Caenorhabditis elegans: one gene and its partners. The protein of the gene in region 3 interacts with the protein of the main gene of each other region in a pairwise test. Each region holds a gene or a part of one and is shown on either strand. Other genes may lie near its edges. The genes, in order: T05F1.4, ain-2, reps-1 and dbd-8.

Region 1 (3,417 bases), on a different chromosome or scaffold from region 3:
ATCGTTCAAATTCTGCGAGTGTTCCTTCAATGTTCAAAAAGAAGAATCTGATGAACTTCATTACTCAGAATGGTGGGATCGTCACGGAGCAGCTTAATGTAAGATAACGTCTTACAAATAACATTCTAATCATTTTATTTTAAGAGCTTCCAAGAGCGTTACTCCAACTACGAACCATTGCTGATTTCTGATACGTACTATCGTACTCACAAGTACTTGGCAGCTTTAGCTCGTGGTGTTCCTTGTGTTAACAATACATGGTTACAAGCATGTGGTGAACAGGGGAAATGTGTCGACTATACGGACTATGTTCTTCCTGCAGGTGCTTCAATTTTTGACGAGTCTCAGGATATGCCAGCGTAAGTGAACTTTCATGATGAATGATTTCAATTCCGTTAGATTTTTGATTTTTATAACGATTCTGAAAATTCTGATCATCGAAAACATTTAAGGCCCAAAAATCCATCAGAGCTTTTGAAAGGAACAACAATTTATGTACACTCAACTCACTCAGCTCGTGAAGTAACACAAACTGGACCCGGAGGAACTTTCATCGAGATTTGGAAACCTATTCTTGAGCTTCTCGGTGCTGATGTAGTCGACGGAGACTGGGAAACTCTTGACGAAACAGGTCTCAAATTTGACGTTGTTTTAGTTGATGGAACTTTCCGTGACGAAGTCATGGAGTATGCAGATACTATTGGAGCAAGTAGAGTCACTTCCGAATGGGTTATCCAAGTGAGATTCCGTTTTCCTCGTCGTTTAATTGTTATACATTTTTCAGACAATAATTCTTGGCAAAGCTCCTGAGCCAAATGCTCATCCAAAATTCGATCCATACCGTCTGCATCACCGCACGCGTCATTGAATATCATCTCATCTCACCCCCTTTCCCCATTTCCCTTCTCATTTTGTACACTACGTTTTTATATCAACTTTTTAAATAACTATTCTACTTTCCCTACCGTGCTCCATCCGCTGAAATATCGTCGATCTCTTACTCGAAAATTTACCCGCTCAGTGTGCTGGTCAACAAGCGGTGACATTGTATGCGTATTCATTAACCATTTTTTGTGAATTTTTGAGCTCTTCCCAATTTATTATTATAGAACTGCATTTTCTAAGCCCCTGTTTTGAAGCTCTTCCATCTTTTTTAAATCACGATCATCATTCCTTTCCCAGTTACTTCTGCAACGTATTTATTATAATTTATTCGAAAGCTTCTGAGAACTTTTTAACTATTCCTTTTTGCATCAAAGAGTAACCTAACATAGTGTTTTACTAACCTACAGTACATTCATATGAACACCTTTTGTTGCTTATTCTGAAATGAAAAAATGAACTGTACCAATAACGTTGTCAATTTTCTTGATTTGGCAGCATTAGTTTCAAACAATTAACAATATTTCAAACAGTTCGTTTTCTCTGAAATTTAATGCATTCCCAATTGAGCTCTTTAAATTAATAATTGAGAAACGGGAAAACTACACTCAAAATAATAAAACTGCGTGGCGTGTACTGCAGAAAACCTCATATTTAGGCCCCGCCTTTTTCTTGTCCACTCACGGAGAAAAGGCGGGGCCTAAATATGAGGTTTTCTGCAGTACACGCCACGCAGTTTTCTTATTTTGAGTGTACTCAACATCATGAATTATAAAAAAAAATATCGCTTGAAATATTCGAACTTTTGATTTCTACTTCCCATCAATAAAGGCCCATCAATAAAATTTAAAAAAAAAACATTTAATACATTGTTCGGAAATAACGACAGCCACAAATTCCGCTTTCTGAGCGAAAAAATATAAAATAAACAGTTTTATTCGATTCTTTGTATAAAACAACTATTTTTCCTCTTGTTTAAATAACATGCTTTTAAAAATTCTAAAATTGTTTTCAGCAAGAAAAATGTCCGGCGGGGGCATCATTCCACGCGGAGGTGGTTATTCAAAAAGACGCGGAAGAGGAAGACGAGGTGGTGGAAATGGTGGATTCCGTGATGATATTAGAGATAATCAATCAGATCGACACTTGAGTCCAGACAGAAGGTAAACTAATAAAATTAATTTTATCCATCAATTTCTGGATTTTAGATCAAATCACAGCGAGGATCGTCATGAACATCGTTTCAACAACTATCGCCAACAAAATCGGCCGAATAGTCGTACTCCAAGTCCATCCAATCATAATCAAGTTCAAACATACCGTAATAATCCGTTTGATGCACGTCCTGCTTTATGTTAGTTATTGATTCGATTATTATTAATCTTAAATGTTCTATATTCAGCATCGAATGATCGAGACCAAGGCCGTAACCGGTTTTCCCCTCCATCTTTCAGACGAGATGGAAGGGATAGTGATCGGAATGGATACCATGAGAAAGAAGAAGAGCCAACAAGAGGAAGCCGTAATGATTTACGAACTATTTTGAAACCAACAGACAAAGAAGCAGCTAGAACGTGGAAATTAAGAATCGGTATGAGCAACGAATTTTGCACTGAAAATGCTTTACCAATTACAGCTGACGCCGAAGAAGCTATCCGACGGGCCGAGTTTCAGTTACGCAGGGCAAAAATGGACCACGAGGCTCTTCTAGAAGCATATAAAGAGTACACGGAAACAACATGCGTAAGAAGACAAAAAAAAAATAGAAAATTAACTAATAATTAAATTTTCAGCCACAAGAACTTCTCAAGCCGAACTGGTAACTTCTGATAGCCAATATCCATCCCTCCAGCTGCCGAATCCTAATAATACAACCAAATCATGTCACATTGTCGCTTTAGAGATATTTTCTCATTATGTATTCAAACTATCAGATAGTTTTATTTTATATCTTTATAATATTTTTATTTTTTCTCAGAATCAATATGGATTTTCATGATTTTCAACACAATAAATGAAATTTATTGTTTTTTCTTCTTGTTCATTGTAATCCCATCAAAGATTCATTCGTGTTTTTGAAATTTCCTTCTGCAATTCTTTAGTTTCACGATTTCTCGTCTGGATATGGGCGGAGTCTACATTGGGGTATTGTATTTTGAGCGATCATATGAAACTATTTTTGAAACATCTAAATGGTTTTACCCAAACACGAAGTTTTGCGATTTCAGCGCCAGAAATACAGTACCCGGTATCGACACGATTTTTTTTTGTATGATAAAACGGGTGTGCGCCTTTGAAGAGTACTGTAATTTCAAAACTTCGTTGGTATGTAAGTACGGAAACCGTCTATTTCTTTAAAAAAAACAAGTTTGAACTCATACATTCTAACAAACCGTGAGCAAAACTACAGTACAGCACGAAAGTTTGCAATTACAGTACTCTTTAATTAAATCTTTAAAGGTGCATAACCGTTTGTATAACAGAAAAATGTCGTGTCGAGACCGGGTACCGTATTTATTGCGCAAAAACACAAAC
Region 2 (7,926 bases), on a different chromosome or scaffold from region 3:
TCAATCAATATGAGAGTTCGGATTTGAAAAACTAATTCCACGTGTAATTTCAAATTTTCAATACAAGAGTTTGCAGTAATTTTAGGTGAAAATACAAAATTATAGTTTTCAAGTTTTCTAAAAATTCACATTTGAAAAAAATGACGAAAAAATGACGAAAAAGCTTGTGCAAATTTGGCTCCTTGTGTGTGTGTGTGTGTGTGGAAGGTGCGTATGAAATAGCACTCTAGTCACGAGAGACACAGATAATGAGTGGGGAGAAAGCCGAGGAATATAGTGGGGCAAAAGACGGCAAAAGAAGTGAAAAGGGGAAGTGTAGTGTGGCGGCGGAAAGAGGACAGTGGAATTGGAATAAACAGGGTTTTTGTAAATGTTGATGATCAGAATCTGCTGTTACAACAACACATATAGTTATTTTTTCCGGGCGTTTGTCGTCGACAGTTTCGAAACAATTAATCCGATTAAATCTAGACTTTTTTTGGAAACACGCTCTATTGCTAAAAGGCTTGAAAAATTGGTTTTATGGTTTTATTCAAAAACTATTTATTTCAGAAATTAACATCCTTTATAAGTGAAAATATTCTTGGGTGTCTCCTCAATTGTCACTTTATACAAAACCGATGGATTCGACATTACGGATTTCAGCTTCTCGAACATATAAATTGCCACGTTTTCAGATGTGCTCACAGTTGTCTGAAATTGGAAAAAAGTATTTATCTTGGTTTTGAAACGCGAAATTGCGGTCTTGGGTCCTTCCGAAATTTTTTATGATAACAAAAAAAATTTAATTTAGATTTTTTTCAATAGCAAAATTCTCGAATCTTTTAAACAAAAAACATTTAAACCATACTAGATGGTACTGTAGCTGAAAAGTTTCGCTCGTGCCAAGACCCACACTTTGAATAGCATTTTTAATGACGCATAATCTGTCTACAGTACCTTAAAAAATTCCACGTCTTTATCCAAATTCCTGTGATCTACCGTATCCAGCACTAAACTCATTTCTTTTTTCAGCTTTGCCAGGTCATACACCATTCCACTCGTCGGATCAACTTCTCCGCGGAGCTTTACCTGAAATTTTTCGAAATTATTTTTATTTTATTAAAAAATAAAATTTTTAAACCTTCCAAACATAATTATGTCCATGACCATTTGAATTATTGCATTTTCCAAAAGTTTCCTTATTTTCAGCGTCGCTCAGCTTTTCAGAGTGAAGACGATGTGCTGCGGAGAACGAATCGACTCGTTCCATAGTTACAATTGGCATTCTGAACATTCAAATAATTTATTTTATTAAAAAAAAGAAAAAAATGGAGAAAAATGGAAGAATTATGTGTGTTCAACGAATAATTTATATACTGGCGCTGGTGTTTGCAAATAATTGATTACAATTATGATATGATTGTCATCGTCTCTCTTTTCAACTAATCATCTTATTACGACAGCAGGATTATAGTTTCTGCATCAAAATACGCAATAATTTCAAGCGAAGGATTACTGTAGTCGTGTTAAAATTTTATATTCGGAGAATTTTGAAATTTTAAATAGAAAAAATAGTGCAAAATATTTATTTTCAATTTTAATTAGGTGATTTCAAAACAATGGACTGATATTTATTAAGTTTTCACTCAAAAAGCAAATTTCTGTGCCTGTAAACTTTTTCAAATCGAGGCATGCGCCTTTAAAAACTACAGTAACCCTTGTCCGCGAAAATTCGAAATCAAATTCATATTTCATCATTTTCACTCATTCTTCTTCGTTTTTGTGCATTTTTTTTCCGAATTTTCGATCAAAATTTTGATTTTAAACATTATTTTTAAACATTCCGTATCTTATTTTCAGAAAAATCACAGCAAGACGCGAAAAAAACAAATTTTAAAAGAGTTTTGCGTGGAAATGCACGGATATCAAGGTATTTCGTCAATATATTTTCGCTCAATTAATTCTAAACAATAATTATTTTTCAGGCAATGATCCGAATTATCGGCGGCAACCTCCCTATCGCCAATTACACGTTGATACACGATCTCCGTCGAGTTACTCTCAACAATATGTTGTGAGTGAAATTTTAAAAAAATCAATTTAAAGTCATCATTAACATGAAGAAACTGTTGATTGGGCACAAGTTAATAAAAAATAACTAAGAAAACCAGAAGATGACGTCATCTGACCGTTCTCCGCACTTTTCATGGTCAATCTCCGATATCAAGAATTCTCATCTCATAATGTCTGCCGTCTCTTCAAAAATCTACATTATCTCATACATTGTCCTCCTAGAAGGTGTCGTTGTGGAGGGAGGGGAAAACGAGGGCGCCCATATTGTCGGGCGCTCCTTGAATAAAAAATGTACGTTTTTTTGTGCAGACTCTCCACGCTTTGCTTCTCCTTTTTCTTCATATTGTACATATATACGTATATTTAATGCACAATGTCTCTGCGTCTTGGTGCCCTTCGTCGTTTTTTTTTTCGCTGGAAACCACCCCAGGAACCGCCACCGCCACACCACTACACCGCCCGTCTTCTTGTTCATGTCTCTGCGTCTCGTGTTTCTTTCTCTCTCGCAACGAACTCTCTATCGATTGGTCATGTCGACCTCCGTCCGTGTCCTCCGACTTGGGGTCCACTTTTTGTCTGCGTCGCGTATTCTAGCGTACTGTGTCACTGACACTCTTTGTTTCTTATTCCTCCACGTCTCGATCAGTGACAGGGACTCTTGTAGTTTTGGAATTTGATTTTTTTTAATTCTCGGATTTACGAAATTTTTCGTTGATGTTTTTGTTTGAATTCGAAAACTCCACTCAAAAAACTATTTTTTTCTATTTTGCAACTAAAAAACGGCCAAATTATTTTGAATAACCAATAGGTTCCACCATTTTGGCATACAGTTTTTCATTGTTTCGCAATTTGAAGCATTATGCGTCACATTTTCAGATTTGTTTTCTGTAAAGTATTAAATTATTGATTTTTCCGCCAATTTTAGAATTTCGGCGAAATTTTGCCGGGTTATTAAGTTTAGATATCTAAAAATGTGGCGAAAGGTGTTTCAAATTAGTGATATAACAAAGAACAACCAATTAATACACGATCGTTTTTTGTTGCAAAATTGCAACAAAAAAAATCTAAGCACGCATATTCGGTAATTTCGGACAAAAACTCCGCAGATACTACTCCACCTAAGATTTTCGTAGAATTTCCGAGGTTTTATAATCTAAATTATGCACTTTCCAACTTATCATTAGAGCGTCATTTCTTCGTATCGCTTGGCTTAATGTATATATATAGTCCGAACCGTGGTACAAGACCGGACTATTCTCAGAGAGACCCGTTCTCGTATACATTTTCCATTTCTATCCTTAACTATATATCCCTTTCCGAGAAGATTTCTACTAGAGAAAGCCTGTTTTACGATGTTACTCTGGGTTTCACCTGCTTTTCAGCTTCAGGGCTAAAAAACCAACCGAAAAAAAATTGGCTGAAAAGCTTAAAAATTAAAATATTATGTTTTTTTAAGTGCTCCAGAAAATTACCGTACCCCTACCTTTGCTCAAAAAATTCGATTTATCGGCCTTCCAAGTTTTGAAGTATCATATCTTTTGGTTTCTTGCTCTTTTGATTCTCTGCTTGAAGCTCCGAATCTCTTAGACGCGGAAGTAATGTCAATTTCTTTGCACCAATTTTTTATTGGATTCTGTTCCATAAAACTCATAACATTTTTCAGCCATACGAGGCGGATCCGGGTATGAACGGGGACGGTTGGCAAGGACCTGGGCGTGGAGGACCACATCACATGAATGGTGGCGGAGGAGGACGACGTGGTGGAGGTGGTGGTATGCACAATCAAAGAATACAACAGAATCCCCATCATGGTAAGATTTGATTCGTTTTTTGGGTGACTAGAAATTATTTAAGAAATTATTTTAAAATTATTAAAGAAATAAATTTGCTGCTATTTAGAATTTCAAATTATATGAAAACTAATTTTCAATATCATCAAATCAGCAAGTCTGTAAAATTCGGCACCTGTAGCGATTACTGAGATTTAAAAAAATGATTTAAAAATTGATTCAAAATTCAAACTTCTATTTTTCAGGTGGAATGAATCGTATGATGCCACACGGATTCCGACCACAACAAGGACAATTTATGCCTCAATATCCTCCACCACCACCAATGGGTGGAATGCCTGATGTGATGGATATTAATATGCGAATGGATGGTATGTCATTAGGATCGACACCATCAGGAATTCCTGGACAATATGGTGATATGGGTCCACCGCCAGTCCAACAATGGAATCAACCTGCTCCATTTGTACCTCCACCTCAACAAGACGATCTCTATGATCCTTCGGGATATGGTGGTGGAGCTGGTGGTGGTGGAGGACATCATCCATCTCATATGCCACCATATGGACAACGTGGAAATAATCAGAATCAATACGGGAATCGAATGCAAGGAGGTCAAGGTGGTTATCGAGGGAATCAACAGAGGCAGCAGCAGCAACAGCCTCAACAGGGATTCAATATGCCACCAATGATGGTTCCACCTGGTCAGCCTCCATTTTATGGTGGAAATCAACCGAATCATCATCATCAACAACCCTCATTTGCTCCGTCGCCATTCTCAATGGGTGGAGGTGGTGGAGGATCACAAGGAGGACCACACGAACAGCACGGACCAGGTGGAAATCAGAATGGAGGATTCGGAGTTTCATCATCATCAATGGATGATTATTCAATGTGGACTGATGAGAATGATGAAGACGCGAAAAAGAAAAAATCGTTGAGAGATAAGGGATTGAGTGGATGGGGTGATGCTGATGTATCAAGTAAGTTTTCTGAAAATTCTGAATATTAAATTCTTAATCTTCTTGCTTCCAGACAGTAAACCAATTCGCCGTTGGATTGTGCCAGAAGGCCAAGAAGAAGACTTTGAAACGGCAATGGAACGATGTCCAAGTCATTTGAAAAAGAAAGCATTGAATGAAGAAGCTCTTCGTCGACGTTTAACATCTGAAAATCCACAAATAGTGGCACAAGCTCAACAACAAGCCGAAGAAGAGGCGAATGCTATGATGAGGATTGGACGAAGACCCATTGTTCCCAGTGGATGGGGTGATATTCCATCTGAAATTAGTACTGACAAGAGTGGTTCGTTTTTTCTTTTTAATCCTACTTCCGTATTTGGTGGTAAAACCATTAATTTATTCGTTTAAAATTAATTATACCAATTTTTTTGTTGCGTTTTCCGTTTTTTTAAATATTTTTTTACATCGAAATTGATGATAAAATTCATAAACAAATGAAAAAAAAATCTTCATGTATTTTTTATGCATCAATTCAAGGTGAAAATTGTAAGAATTAGTAAAAACCATTAAAAACTCAACAAAAGGGACGAAAAATGTTTGAAAATTGGCGAAAATAATTGAAAACGATTTAATTTACGGTTTTGCCGCCAAATACTATTTAAAAACAGTTTTTCATTTTTATCCAAAAAATGTTTAACAAAATTGAAACATTATACGATTGGCATTTATAACGAGAAAAAATGCAATATTGTACTAAAGTTTCAAAAGATTCAGAATTCGATCAAAGCTCGTCACGTGGTTGGGATGAAGGAAGTATAAGCGGTGGTGGAAGTGGACGTCATCCATCTCATCATCAATCAAATGATAATTCAATGTGGAATAGTCCATCAGTTGGAGGAGGTCAATCAAATAGTGAAACACGTAATCCATTCTTTGCTCAACACATGCAACAGCAACAACATCAACAACAACATCAGCCACACTATGGAGGTTATGGTGATAATGGGGTGCTTGATGGTGGATCATTGTGGTCTGCTGCTGTCATGGATGGTTCGTACCAGAAAATAGAATTTAGGAATAGAATGGTTAGAGGAGGCGGAGCTCCGACTGCAACCCTGCCGCGCGTCTTTTATGTCGACAACCCAGAATTTATTTGTCTGCACGATTTCCCAGTTTCTGCTAAATTCTTGATCCTGGACTGTTTTCCTTCTGTATTAACCTAAAAAGCTAGTATTTCAAGTAAAAATCGATTAATTTATTTATGAAAACCCCATAATTACTGTTTCCCTTTTAAGTGGGAAATACAGAAAGAAATGAGGGAAACGGTCCAGAATACAAAATTTTAACAGAAACTGTAAAATCGCGCGTAGTCCACCGGAAATCGACATGAGATCTCATGTCGATTTACAGTGGACTGGAGCGGCGCCCCAAACTATAGCTTTTAGTTTCCCCGTAATTTTTTATTAATGAATATTATTTTTTAATGAATATTTTCTTGCAGGATCCTCAATGGTACCACCACATCCAACAATGGGTGTCGGATCATCAGCTTCATCGTCATCAATTCCAATTGGCATGTTGATGATGAGCGGCAGTGGAAATGTTGGAGGCGGACCACCATCCTCATCTTCATTGTTGGACGAGGATGGTAGCCAGAAGAAGCTGGCTGAAAATCTGAAATTAGCCGTTCAGAAGGGTCATTTGGATATTTCCCTACTCTCACTTCCGCACATTCCGCCCAACGTGCTCGACTTGCTCACCGAAATTTTGGCGGTCATTCCGCGTTTGGACGACTATGAGGATGAGCTCAAAAAATTGGTGTGTATTTTATTGGGATAATAATATTACACAGACGCAAAATATTGCGATTTTTGCGGGTCTCGCCACTACATATTTTGTTAAATTCACAAAGGTGTGCACCTTTAAAGAGTACTGTAGTTTCACATTTTCGTTACTGCGGATTTGGAATTAATTTTCCACAGTTTTTCTCACGATTTGTTAGTTTGAAAGATTTTTAGTTAATTGAAAAATCGAAGAAAATTCCGCAGTAAAGAAGGTTTTGAATCACGGTACTATTTATAGGCGCACATACTTTTGCATTGAGCACACATTTTTCGTGTCGAGACCGGGCACTGTATTTATTCTCAAAAAATCGCAAAATTCTGTGTCTATAGAATGGTGGTGAAGAGCTAAAAATTAAAAAAAACTAGAATGAAAAGAAACATATTTTTAAATTACTTTTTTAAGGGAGAAAATCGCCCTTCGAACTATGACGAGGGAGCCAGCAAAGAGGAGAAAGAATCGTGGATGAGCAAGGATCAAAAGGTAAACATTTTTGATGAAAAAGTACGGTACCAGGTCTCGAAGCGATCGAAAAATTTTCACGGAAAGAAGTGTGTACCATTAAAGAATACTGTAGTTGCTACGAATTCAGCATAATTTTCGATCGTTTCGAGACCTGCTACAGTATCTCAGAGCTAAAGATCGTAAATTTCCGAACCTGGGTTATCACAAAGAGTTTTTTAAAAGATTAGAGTTTAATGAATAAAAATAATAAAATAAAAATTACAGAACGATCACGACAAAGCAGTAATCGGAGTAGTGACTGCAAAGATCGAGGTGACACAATTATCTAAAAAGATCACCGAAGCTTTGATCGAAGCTGGGCTTCTTCCACCACAACCACAAACATCTACATCTGCAAATACATCTACCAATCATCTTAATCATAGAGGAGGACCACCGCCAGGATCCGATGGAGGAGCTGGTCCAAGTACTTCACGAAGTGGTGGAGGTGGTGCTGCTGGTGGAGACTCTTTTAATAGTAGTGGAGGTGGTGGACCACCTGATCATTATTATGATTATTCGTTCCTTGGTTAGATGCTGATTTATTCTTTTTTTTTAATCTGAAATCAAATATATAATTATTCAGTTCGTTCTTTTCTGCTGCTGTAAATTTAATTTTCTTCTTTTGAAAAAGTCTAGAATTTTTATGCCAAAATTTGCATTGCTTGTTAGTTTTTATTTTATTTATGACTCTTCTCGTATTCATCAATTTATTTTCATAATTTAACTTTTTAAAATCAATATGTGTTAGTTTGATCCCACCCTCTCCTGGT
Region 3 (6,998 bases):
CCCAAAACTTGTAGTTTGTAGTCTAAGCAGCGCCCAAAATTGAATTAGCAGCGCCCAAAAGTTGTAGTTTGTAGTGTTAGCAGCGCCCAAAACTTGTAGTTTGTAGTCTAAGCAGCGCCCAAAATTGAATTAGCAGCGCCCAAAACTTGTAGTTTGTAGTCTAAGCAGCGCCCAAAAGTTGTAGTTTGTAGTTTAGCAGCGCCCAAAATTTGTAGTTTGTAGTGTTAGCAGCGCCCAAAACTTGTAATTTGTAGTCTAAGCAGCGCCCAAAACTTGTAGTTTGTAGTCTAAGCAGCGCCCAAAATTGAATTAGCAGCGCCCAAAAGTTGTAGTTTGTAGTTTAGCAGCGCCCAAAATTGAATTAGCAGCGCCCAAAAGTTGTAGTTTGTAGTGTTAGCAGCGCCCAAAACTTGTAGTTTGTAGTTTAGCAGCGCGTAAAATTGAATTAGCAGCGCCCAAAAGTTGTAGTTTGTAGTTTAGCAGCGCCCAAAATTGAATTAGCAGCGCCCAAAAGTTGTAGTTTGTAGTGTTAGCAGCGCCCAAAACTTGTAGTTTGTAGTTTAGCAGCGCGTAAAATTGAATTAGCAGCGCCCAAAAGTTGTAGTTTGTAGTTTAGCAGCGCCCAAAACTTGTAGTTTGTAGTCTAAGCAGCGCCCAAAATTGAATTAGCAGCGCCCAAAACTTGTAGTTTGTAGTCTAAGCAGCGCCCAAAATTTGTAGTTTGTAGTGTTAGCAGCGCCCAAAACTTGTAGTTTGTAGTCTAAGCAGCGCCCAAAACTTGTAGTTTGTATTCTAAGCAGCGCCCAAAATTGAATTAGCAGCGCCCAAAACTTGTAGTTTGTAGTTTAGCAGCGCCCAAAATCACATTTTCGCTCAAAATTAACCAAAATTGCCGGTTTTTTCGCATTTTTCGACGGAATTTTCTGTTTAATTCGTTAAAATTTGGGAATTTTTATGATTTTTCAGCGGAAATCGCTTGAGCAGCGCCCAAAACTTGTAGTTTGTAGTTTCCACGTGGGGCTCAATTCCTCGAAACTTACACAAATTCGCCAGTTTTGAAGCTTTTCGTGTCATTTTTATCGTGAAATTCGACATTTGTGGGTTTCAGCGCCTTATCAACATAAAATTCACTGTCCAATCCATACAAAAGCTGTCCTTTATCACTAATATCATCACTTTCTCGCCGTTCCAGCAGCTCTTGCGGTGCTTCATCATCATCATCATCAGTCGGTGGATCCGAATCGAATCCGCTGCTTTCCCCGCCGCCGGCTTCTCGATTTTCAGCCGGCGGTAGATCACCGGATTCACTGCTCGCCGAGCTGTCTGGAGCCCCCCCGGCGGCCGAAATTCCGACGCCATTGTACTCGACGCCATATCCAACGTACCAGCCGTCTTCTAAATTCGAATTATCAATCGAAAAAGTGTCGATTTGAAGGATTTCGCAGGGTTTTGTGGATTTTTGAGCATTTTCGTGCTGTTCCATCGTTAATCCTTGCTTCCCGAGCGCATTTTTCAGCGTTTTCAGCTCTCTTTTTGTGAGATTTCGGGCTTTTTCAGGAATCTGCGGGATTTCGGACGATTGGGGCATCAGAACCTGGAAAAAATAATTGTTATGCTGTTAAAATCGAATTTTGGGGCAAAAAAAACCTTAAAAATACGATTTTCCGGCTGAATTTCATTATTTTTCGCAAAAATTTCAGATTTAGCTCGAAAATCGGTTGAATCTTGCCGATATTTGATAGTTTTCACCCGTAAAAACCCCGAAATCCATGAAAAACCACTTTAAAACTGAAAAACAAATTATACAACTAGGAAATGGATATTTTTCAGCGTTTTAGGTGTATGAATAGGAGATTTTAACGCTTTTTTAATTAATTTTTGCTTTAAAAAACTGATTTTTACCCAAAAAATCTGTGAAAATTGAGTTTTTCAGCTGAAACATCGTTTCAAAACGAAAAAATAAATTTGCCGGCACGAGAATCGCGCCAGTCAACCCCCTTTGCGCATCTCCAGTGCGCTGGCGCATTTCTCGTGCACCAACTATTTTATTTGCTTTTCCGCGAAAAAATCAATTTCCATGACAGAAAACGACAAAAAATCGCAATATTTTTCGAATGGAGACTTTGAAAAAGTCGCTGCCGATATTATTAGTAGTCCGAGACGTCTGAAGCACACGAGTCCAGGTGATTATTTTGAAAAATAAAGAATTTCAGCTCGAAATCGGCAAATTTGATGCAAAAACGTGGAAATTAAGCTGAAAAACGGTGAAAAATCCAGAAAAATTAGGAAAAAGTGCAAAATTATCCTCAAAAATGAGTAGTTTTAATGAAAATATAACCTTTTTCGATTTTTCTCAAATTTTTTCGCATTTTTGAAGAGATTTCCGCTATAAAACAGATGAAACTAATTTAAAAAAACCACTTTTGAAGGTTTTTGAGTGAATTTTTTGGGCGCTGCTTAGACTACAAACTACACAATTTTAGGCGCTGCTAATTCAATTTTGGGCGCTGCTAAACTACAAACTACAAGATATTGGTCGCTGCTAAACTACAAACTACACAATTTTGGGCGCTGCTAAACTACAAACTACAAGATTTTGGGCGCTGCTAAACTACAAACTACACAATTTTGGGCGCTGCTAAAGCTACAAACTACACAATTTTGGGCGCTGCTAAACTACAAACTACAAGATATTGGTCGCTGCTAAACTACAAACTACACAATTTTGGGCGCTGCTAAACTACAAACTACACAATTTTGGGCGCTGCTAAACTACAAACTACACAATTTTGGGCGCTGCTAAACTACAAACTACACAATTTTGGGCGCTGCTAAACTACAAACTACAAGTTTGGGCGCTGCTAATTCAATTTTGGGCGCTGCTAAACTACAAACTACAAGATTTTGGGCGCTGCTAAAGCTACAAACTACACAATTTTGGGCGCTGCTAAAGCTACAAACTACACAATTTTGGACGCTGCTTTTCCGTTTAGCGGCGCCAAAATCGATTTTTTCTATTTTTAAGCACATTTTCTCAGGGAAAATTGCAAAAATCGAAATTATTTCGGTTTTAAAGCTAAAAAACTCGAAAAAATCCAAATTTCCCCAATTTTCAGCCGATTCCAACGCGGATTCTCTCTTCAAAATCACTGAAAAACAGCAGGAATACTACACAAAATGCTTCCGTCACTTAATAAAAACCACTCAAGGCGCCGCAGACCTCTGCGGAGCCCTTTGCGGAGCCGATCAACGAATTGTAGCGTTTTTCAAGAGAAGCTCGCTGGATATGAGCTCTTTATCGAAAATCTGGTCGCTGGCCGATGTGAATGAAGACGGATGGTTGGATTTAAACGAATTCTCGATTGCGATGCATTTAGTAGTGTTGAAAGTGAAAGGAGAAGTTCCGATTCCTGATGTGCTACCCGGTTTCGCGCGGCCACCACTTACAGAGCCACGGGCTCCGTCTACAGTTGCGGCGACGCCTAGTCCCGCCGGTGCAGGACATGTAGAAGCTGATGGGCCAGTGAAAAATGTGGGGGTTTTTGAAATAATTTAATTGACTTTTGAATATGTATCATCATTCAAAACATTAACGACGTTTTTTTTTTAATTTCGAATTTTTCCAATTCCAGTGGGCAAACCAGCCAATCATCAAACAATTCTCGGATACACCGCCATTATTAGTGGACAGTAGGCCAACAGCTATCAAGCATTCTGCATTGTTAGCACTTAAGAGTCCACTGGGTAAGTTTGGATTCATTGAAGAAATTGTTGTAGTGTTTATTATACTTCTCAAATGTGTGAACACAATATAAAAAGTTTAAATTATTGACTAATAATAATTTATTCGAAAAATTGCTAGTTGAATAGCAGTCATACTACAAAAACTACAATAGTTTTCGATTCAAATGTTTTAGAAAACCTAGTTTTCTAATCAGTAACATAGTTATTTATATACTGACTAAGTAACTAATTATTTAATTAATAACTATTTAAGTACGTTTTTAATTCGTGACTTAGTTAGTAATTAAAATACTTACTGAGTTGCTAATTATATAACTTGGTAAGTAGTTAATTAGAAACTTAGTTATGAAATTACTAACTCAATACGAATTTAATTACTAACTTAGTGAGTATTTAATTAGTAACATAGTTATTTAATTTATAACTCAGGAAGTATTTAATTAGTGACTTAGTTAGTAATTAAATAACTAAGTAAGTATTTAATTACTAACCCTGTTAGTGTTAATTAGTAACAAAGTGAGTATTTAATCAGTAACGTAGTTATTTAATTTGTAACTAAGGAAGTATTAAATTGCTACTAAGTGAGTATTTAATTACTAACTAAGTGGGTATTTAATTAGTAACAGAGTGAGTTTTTAACTACTAATTTTCTTATTTAATCATCATCTAAATAAGTACTTAATTAGTAACTTAGTAATTAAATTACTAACTACGTAAGTATGTAGTTAGTAACTTAGTTATTTAATTACCTAAATAAGTATTAATAAGTATTAAGTATTAAGTAAGTTCATTAAAACACGCAACACTCAATATTTAGTAGTATTTGCAATCTAAGAGCAGCGCCCGAAATCAATAATCCATATTTTCAGGACCCCCACCAATTCCACCTGTCCGCCCACAACAACAACAACGTGGACACAACAGAAGTGCAAGTCTTGACTTGAAATTGATTGCATTGAATAAGACAAAAGCCTCGGCGGAATCCCAGCTACCACCAACTACCCTATCACTTTGGTCATCACATTCCGATCCGACAGCTCAATCGATTAGTACTACAACGACTACGACTACTTTTGCGTCTTTTCCTGGTATGAGACTGAAAAATTGGGCAGAAATTCGAAAAAAATTTTAAAAAAACTGGAATTTTTCAAAAAATATATTGCTTTCAATTTTCGAGAAAAAATCAAAATATTCCCAATTTCCGCAAATTTTCAGCCACCCCGGACAGTATTCCACCGCCGATTCCACAAAGAATCACACCGTCACCTCTACCGGTAAGTTAAGGGAAAGCTTTTAGTTGTAGTTTGTAGTCTTAGCAGCGCCCAAAGTTTGAAATTATTCGTTTTAACGAATTTTTAAGAAAAACTTTTCAAAATTGCGATAAAATCGAAAATTAGTGTAGTTTTTATTTTCTGAACAGGTTGAAAATCACAAAAATATGATTTTTAAACAATTTTTGGCTATTTTTTTGTGCGCTGCTATTTTTTTGGGCGCTGCTAATTTTTGGGCGCTGCTATTTTTTTGGGCGCTGCTAATTTCTTGGGCGCTGCTAATTTCTTGGGCGCTGCTAATTTCTTGGGCGGGCTGCTAAAAATTTACTTGTAGTTTGTAGTTTTAGCAGCGCCAAAATTCAAAAATACTCATTTTTAACCATTTTTCTTCAAATTTTTCAAATTTTTCACTGAAAAATCTCCAAAAATTCACAATATTTTTGCAGAGAGTCATCGAAGAGGAAAAACGAATTACCACAACAGATTCATCAACACAAACTACAGAATTACTCTATTCTGAGGAAGATGTGAAGAGCTTTTTCTCGAAAATCGGCCATCAAATCGACGATTTAATTGGAGAAGAGATTCAGGCAACTGATGGGCAAGGAATTGAACGATGGAAGGAACGTTGTACAGCTTTGAGGACTCAAAATTCGGAATTAGAAGCCGAAAGAGCACGGTTGGCTCAAGTACGGATTCAATTGGAAATACGAATTCAGGAATTTGAAGAGAGATCCAAAACTGCGTGCTCTTCTTCTACACTTTAATGATATCCCCGGTGGAGGAAAAATGGATGGGAAATTCGAATTTTTGAGGAAAAATAGGAAAAAAATAATTTTTTTCGGCTTGAAAAACTAGGAAATAACACATTTTATTTCGAATTTTCCGGAAAAAATTTTTTTTTTGGAAAAAACTCAATTTTTAGCTGGAAAAATAGAATTTTTAAAGATTTATTACGTTTGGTTAGGAAAATAACAAAAAAATTCGAAATGTATCAATTTCTATGGAAAATTATTTTTTCTGAAAATTTATTGATTTTTCTGAAAATTTATTGATTTTTCTGAAAATTTATCGATTTTTCTGAAAATTTATTGATTTTTCTGAAAATTTATCGATTTTTCTGAAAATTTATCGATTTCTATGGAAAATTTATTGATTTTTCTGGTTTTTCGCATTAAAAAACATGAAATTTGCCCATTTTAGAGCAAATTTTCAAAAATTTCTGAGAAAAAGGTATTTCCCGAAATTAAATTTAACTTCTAAAAAAGTTTTTAATTATTTTCTATCAAAAATTCGAATTTCCCACCAATTTCTCCCCCAGATTCCCCGCAAAAAACTAAAAAATCTGCATATTTCTTCATAATTTCTGTGATATGTCATATATATATTTCATTTTTACCTATGTTGTAATTTTTTAAAATAAGCATCAATTTTTCTATTTTCTGTGATAATTTAATCTATTACACTATCTTCTTTTTTTTTTTTGAAAAAAAAAATCATAAAGTATGTATTGATTTTTACACACATTAAAAATAACTATTTTTTAAAATTGGAAAATATATATATATAAATTTTTCCAAAAAAAAATGAAATAACATGAAAGATGGGAACTATCTAAAAAATTCGGACAAAAAAATTATTACAGATCCGGCTAAAAATTTGGAAAAAATTCCAAATTTTGACAGAATTTGAGGGATCTATTATAAAAACTGCTAGAATAACAAAAAAAAAACAAAAAATTTTCGAGAAAAAAAATTATTACACATTCGTGACGAATGTATAATAATCTTAGCAGAACTAAAAAAAAACAGTAAATTATTGTTGAATTCCGAGTAATTTCTTCATCTGACGACCGTATTCCCGCGTTTTTTCGACAGTTTCCTCGCTATTTCTATAGGCTTTCCACATTTCTCCGAATTCGTCAATCGATTTTTGATCTCCACATCCGGCGGCGCTGGGGCTTAATCCAGGCGTCAACTTGGC
Region 4 (4,343 bases), on a different chromosome or scaffold from region 3:
GCTTTCCCCGCCGACTATCCCGATTCACGGAGAGATCTCTAATTTCTGGAATTATGCAACAATAACATATGCGATGAATTGGCGGCAACGACGACGACGACGACGAAAAAAGAAGAAGCAGAAACGAAAAGGCAAAGAAGGAGGCGTGTTTCAATCCAAAAAGACACACACACACACACGGCTAAATGACATATAACATTGCGCAAAAAGCCGAGTCATACCATAGTTTTCTTCCCGATCCCCTCTTGCCATTTATTGCAGGAACATCTAGTTACCTACATTTTTCCTTCATTTTTTAGTAGAAATTACAAAGTTAGCATCTTTAGATATCTATAATTTCTCAATTTCTTTCTCATCTCATCTTACCAGGAAAGATTGTTAGAAACACTAGAGAATGTCTGGATTTGGAGCTTCTATCATGTCTAACGATACATTCGAAGTACCGAAAATCAGAATTTTCCTGAAATGTTTTGAAATGAAAAATCTCAATTTTGGCAGGCCTCAACAAAACTATTTCGAAAAACCAACAAGCTACAGTAACCCTGACAGCTAAGACCTCCAATTTAACTTCACCAAGATTCACCTTCTTAATAAATCCTCTAGATTCCAAGATATTCCGTGTTTGTGTATACACATCTTCAAGTATATCGTTATATTCCATACATACCACACAAAAATGATCAATCAGGGAGGCATCAGAATCAATCTGGATGACTCGGAACGAGTTTCTGGCTATTCTCTCTCTCGCTCGGTCATCTCCTATTCTCCTTTTTTTGGCGATTGATTCTATTTTGTCTTCGATTCCCTTGATTCCCTTCGGCGGGGGCTTCTCGTAGTCCTCAACAGGTTATCAATGCCATTCGAATATATCCTATTACAATCTCTTTTCCCCCCTTTCCGGATTCGGTAATTTTTTGAACTTCCGTTTGACGTGCAGAATGTGATAAGAAAATATACATATGTAATTTTGTAGATACTAGAACAGTATTGTAATTTCTAGTTGTGCTGTTACTACTAAATAGCACTTCCATGTAGAATGTTCTTTCTTATTCAAAAGTAACTGACTAATTCCCAAATAAATCCTTCCTGCCGTTCTCCAATATGTCGCAATACTAGCCTTCGATCATCCGTCTAAATCTCCTCTCGGATAATTAAAAAGTGTTTCGTCACCGTTTCGCCTTGTAGCTGTCCGTAGCTGGTGGTCAGTCGGGCGCGCACCTCAAGAAGAGAAGAAGCAAGAAAAAGAAGGGAGAGAGAGAGAGAATAAGCTTGCCCATAAGAAGCCGGTTATTCGACGCGATCGGCGTCATCGCGAACGAGGCGAGGCATCTCTATGTATGTGAGGAGGGGAGAGGCTAGTCGCCGACCTCAAGATGGTGAAGCAAACATAGACGACCGCTTCATCTTTATCCAATCCACAATGTTCGCTGTTTGTTCAACATTCCGCAGCCGCTTCTTCTCCGGACCCGCGCGCTCCGTTCCCAAAGCCATTTATCCGGGAATCGAGTAGATGTGTCGGGAGAGACACCGCAATGTAGATTTCCTCCGTTTCAATCGCCTTCAAATAACTTTCACCTCCTTCTGAATTCTTTTCACTTTATTTTCCCTTCGACCCTTTTGACCGAATCAACTTTTTGAAACGTTTCAGACCGATGGCAATGTCGGTTTCGACGATACGTGCCATTTGTATTTTGCTGCTTCTATCAACGTATACATTGGCAGATCTTCCGTCATGTGCTCGTGCCAAATGTGTTCATTGTGCAGTTGACTTCATCGATAGAATGTGTCCAACAGCTTGTGCTGGATGCAAGACACAGCAGCACCAATCTATTCAGGTAGGGATTTTGGGTTACATTTTGCTTGAATTCGAATTCTGACATTTCAGGAAGTAAATGTACAGAGACCACCTCAGCCACCACCAGCGTTCAATAATCAGCCACAGTTCGCACAATCAGTGAATACTCGCCAGATCTCAAACGAGGGAGGGCCACAGGTTCAGAGACCACAGGTGGGATTTTGAATTGAAAAAAAAATTTATTAAAAAGTATTTAGGTTCAGCACCAGCAACAATTCCAGCAACAGGTTCAGGCTCAACATCAACAACAACAGCCACAATTCAACATCCCACTGCAGCCACATGCTCAGCCAGTTCAATTCGCTGCTCCAAACTATCAAGGAAACCAGATCCCGTACCCACAAGCACAGGCTCCAGCTCAAATTCAAACCGCCACTCTTGCTCCACTAGTCGAGGCACCAAAGGTCGCATCTTTCGATCCAAACTTGAGCCGTCAACCAGCCGATTTGGCACAGCCACTTCCAGAATACCAAACCGGGCAAGTACAGTACCCACAACAAGCCGCTCAAATTCCATTCGGCCAACAGCCACAGCAAGGATATGGGCAACAAGTTGATAATATTTTCAACCAACCGAATCCATTCCAACTCCCGACTCCACAACAAGGACAAGGACTATTCGGAGCTCCAGGAGCCGCTGGAGCCGCTGGAGCACAATCACAATCGCAGGCTGCAGCTTTCAATCCATTCCAACAATTCTTGCAGCCAAATGCAGCACTCGATCCATTCAACCTTTTCAACTTGAACGCTAATCCATTGACTGTTAACCAGCAAGGCATCAGCACTCTTCAGACCCAGCAGCAGCAATACGGACAGGTACAGCATCAGGGAAATTACAACAGTCAAAATTATAACCAACAACAACCGCAGCAACCACAAATCCCGCAACTTCCACAACAACAGCAGCAGTACAATCAGCAATACAATCAGCAGTTCAACCCACCATATCAGCAGTTCCAACAACCACAACAGCAGCAGTACAACCAACAGCAGCAGCAGCAGACACCACAACAAAACCAATACAATCAACAGCAACAATACGGACAGCAGCCACAGCAGCCCCAACAACCACACCAACAGCAGTACCAGAATCAGAACAACTATCTGCCACAGCCGCAGCAACCACAACTCCCAGTTGCTCCACAACAACAGGTACAGCAGCAACGTCCACAGCAGCCACTACCACAGCCAGCCGCTGCAGCTTCAGTTGACTCTAGACCAGTCAACTTTGAGAAGTATATCGATGCAGGAAAGGGAACTCCACTTGCTCCACCACCACAGGTAAAATATTTCCGCAATTGTGATCAGCTTAATATTTGTTCATTCAGGCCCAATGTCCACGCCAACCAGGATGGCAGCCATGCATCACTAAGGACACCGCCAATGATCGATTCCGCAACTGCTGTTCTCGTCTCGGAGAGGGATGTGCTCCACTTTGTAACTACGATGCTACCCTTGCTACTGTATGTCTCTATAATGATTTTTTTGCTATCTAGAACTGTTTTCCATTTCAGATGCAACTCGCTGTTCTCACTGGACGCTGTCCATTGGCTAAGGTCGGAGACGTGATGATCTGCGCTTCGGGCTACCAAGACGCATCCCAGTGTTGCGAGGCTTACGGAGTCTTCGAGCCAGGATACGAGCACTGCCGTCCATACTGTAACCCATCGGCCGGTCTTCCAGAAGGCGGACTTCTTACCGAGAAGTACAAGTGTCTCGTCAAACTGTCACACATTCAACAATGCTTCTTCGTCTCGCAGAAGCCATAAGGTGTCAACGGGTGATCCATATGTATTGCAATTTAAACCACATCAATAATAATAATTTTTCTCTCTTCTCACTCATTCCCTCATCTACAACTTTCCTGAATTCGTGCAATAGATTTCAAAAATTCAATTCTAAAATGTGGCACAGTGTGCCATCACAATAAATGATTTTAAATATTAAGAGAAAGAAGCTTACATGTGCAAAACTCCAGCATTCGTCAAAATCGATAATCCTTTACTCGTCATTGTGAACGTTCCGATTATGGCGAAATGAAGCATCGAGTTGGTGTAGGAAAGGTTGCGAGCAGCAAAGTAGGCATTCGGATTGGATCTCTGAAATATATTACACATTTTATAAATATATTTTAATAAATGTCTTCTATATTTTTGCAATCCTACGGCACGATGTCGATGGACAATTTTTAAAATTGGATATGTTTCAAGTAAAAATCGATGAATTAATTGTTGCAAAACAACAAATTAATAAAAAATAACATAAAAAATAAGAAATATTTTGTTACGTTTGAATGTTAGATACAAAAATAATCCGCAAAAATAGTCTCAAACCAGCGATTTCAGCTTTAAAAAACTGTAAAATCCCGCTTGTCCGTGTGTAGTACAAAACGCTTTGTAAATCGACATGTAAAAATCCTGATTTTGTACTACACGTGGAAAGCCGAAAACTTATTTTCTTCTCGCATGATTCTACATGATTCTGGCAGA

What was found.
Region 1: the proteins of reps-1 (region 3) and T05F1.4 interact in a two-hybrid assay, tested with the Caenorhabditis elegans proteins (one large-scale study listed by BioGRID).
Region 2: the proteins of reps-1 (region 3) and ain-2 interact in a two-hybrid assay, tested with the Caenorhabditis elegans proteins (one large-scale study listed by BioGRID).
Region 4: the proteins of reps-1 (region 3) and dbd-8 interact in a two-hybrid assay, tested with the Caenorhabditis elegans proteins (one large-scale study listed by BioGRID).

Annotation. Positions count from the first base shown.
Region 1 is NC_003279.8:9,629,491-9,632,907, forward strand, and holds T05F1.4 (NAM-associated domain-containing protein), read left to right. Parts: upstream 1-1,897; 5' UTR 1,898-1,905; coding exon 1,906-2,045; intron 2,046-2,090; coding exon 2,091-2,236; intron 2,237-2,284; coding exon 2,285-2,473; intron 2,474-2,518; coding exon 2,519-2,625; intron 2,626-2,675; coding exon 2,676-2,705; 3' UTR 2,706-2,911; downstream 2,912-3,417. Other genes in the region: Protein hsr-9, read left to right, coding at 1-98, 145-359, 453-738, 785-868.
Region 2 is NC_003279.8:4,651,631-4,659,556, forward strand, and holds ain-2 (ALG-1), read left to right. Parts: upstream 1-1,896; coding exon 1,897-1,912; intron 1,913-1,967; coding exon 1,968-2,056; intron 2,057-3,712; exon of another isoform or gene 3,713-3,718; coding exon 3,719-3,866; intron 3,867-4,090; coding exon 4,091-4,828; intron 4,829-4,880; coding exon 4,881-5,150; intron 5,151-5,575; coding exon 5,576-5,857; intron 5,858-6,308; coding exon 6,309-6,625; intron 6,626-7,054; coding exon 7,055-7,132; intron 7,133-7,378; coding exon 7,379-7,687; downstream 7,688-7,926. Other genes in the region: ptps-1 (Putative 6-pyruvoyl tetrahydrobiopterin synthase), read right to left, coding at 556-693, 940-1,071, 1,124-1,276.
Region 3 is NC_003283.11:18,985,448-18,992,445, reverse strand, and holds reps-1 (REPS (RalBP1-associated Eps domain-containing protein) homolog), read left to right. Parts: upstream 1-1,945; 5' UTR 1,946-2,077; coding exon 2,078-2,183; intron 2,184-3,116; coding exon 3,117-3,532; intron 3,533-3,632; coding exon 3,633-3,744; intron 3,745-4,613; coding exon 4,614-4,832; intron 4,833-4,959; coding exon 4,960-5,018; intron 5,019-5,461; coding exon 5,462-5,782; 3' UTR 5,783-6,472; downstream 6,473-6,998. Other genes in the region: Y39B6A.37 (Structural protein), read right to left, coding at 1,041-1,588; mrps-35 (Small ribosomal subunit protein mS35 mitochondrial conserved domain-containing protein), read right to left, coding at 6,831-6,998.
Region 4 is NC_003280.10:13,106,371-13,110,713, forward strand, and holds dbd-8 (DB domain-containing protein), read left to right. Parts: upstream 1-1,648; 5' UTR 1,649-1,652; coding exon 1,653-1,835; intron 1,836-1,885; coding exon 1,886-2,008; intron 2,009-2,052; coding exon 2,053-3,135; intron 3,136-3,182; coding exon 3,183-3,317; intron 3,318-3,368; coding exon 3,369-3,623; 3' UTR 3,624-3,799; downstream 3,800-4,343. Other genes in the region: rict-1 (RICTOR_N domain-containing protein), read right to left, coding at 3,817-3,953.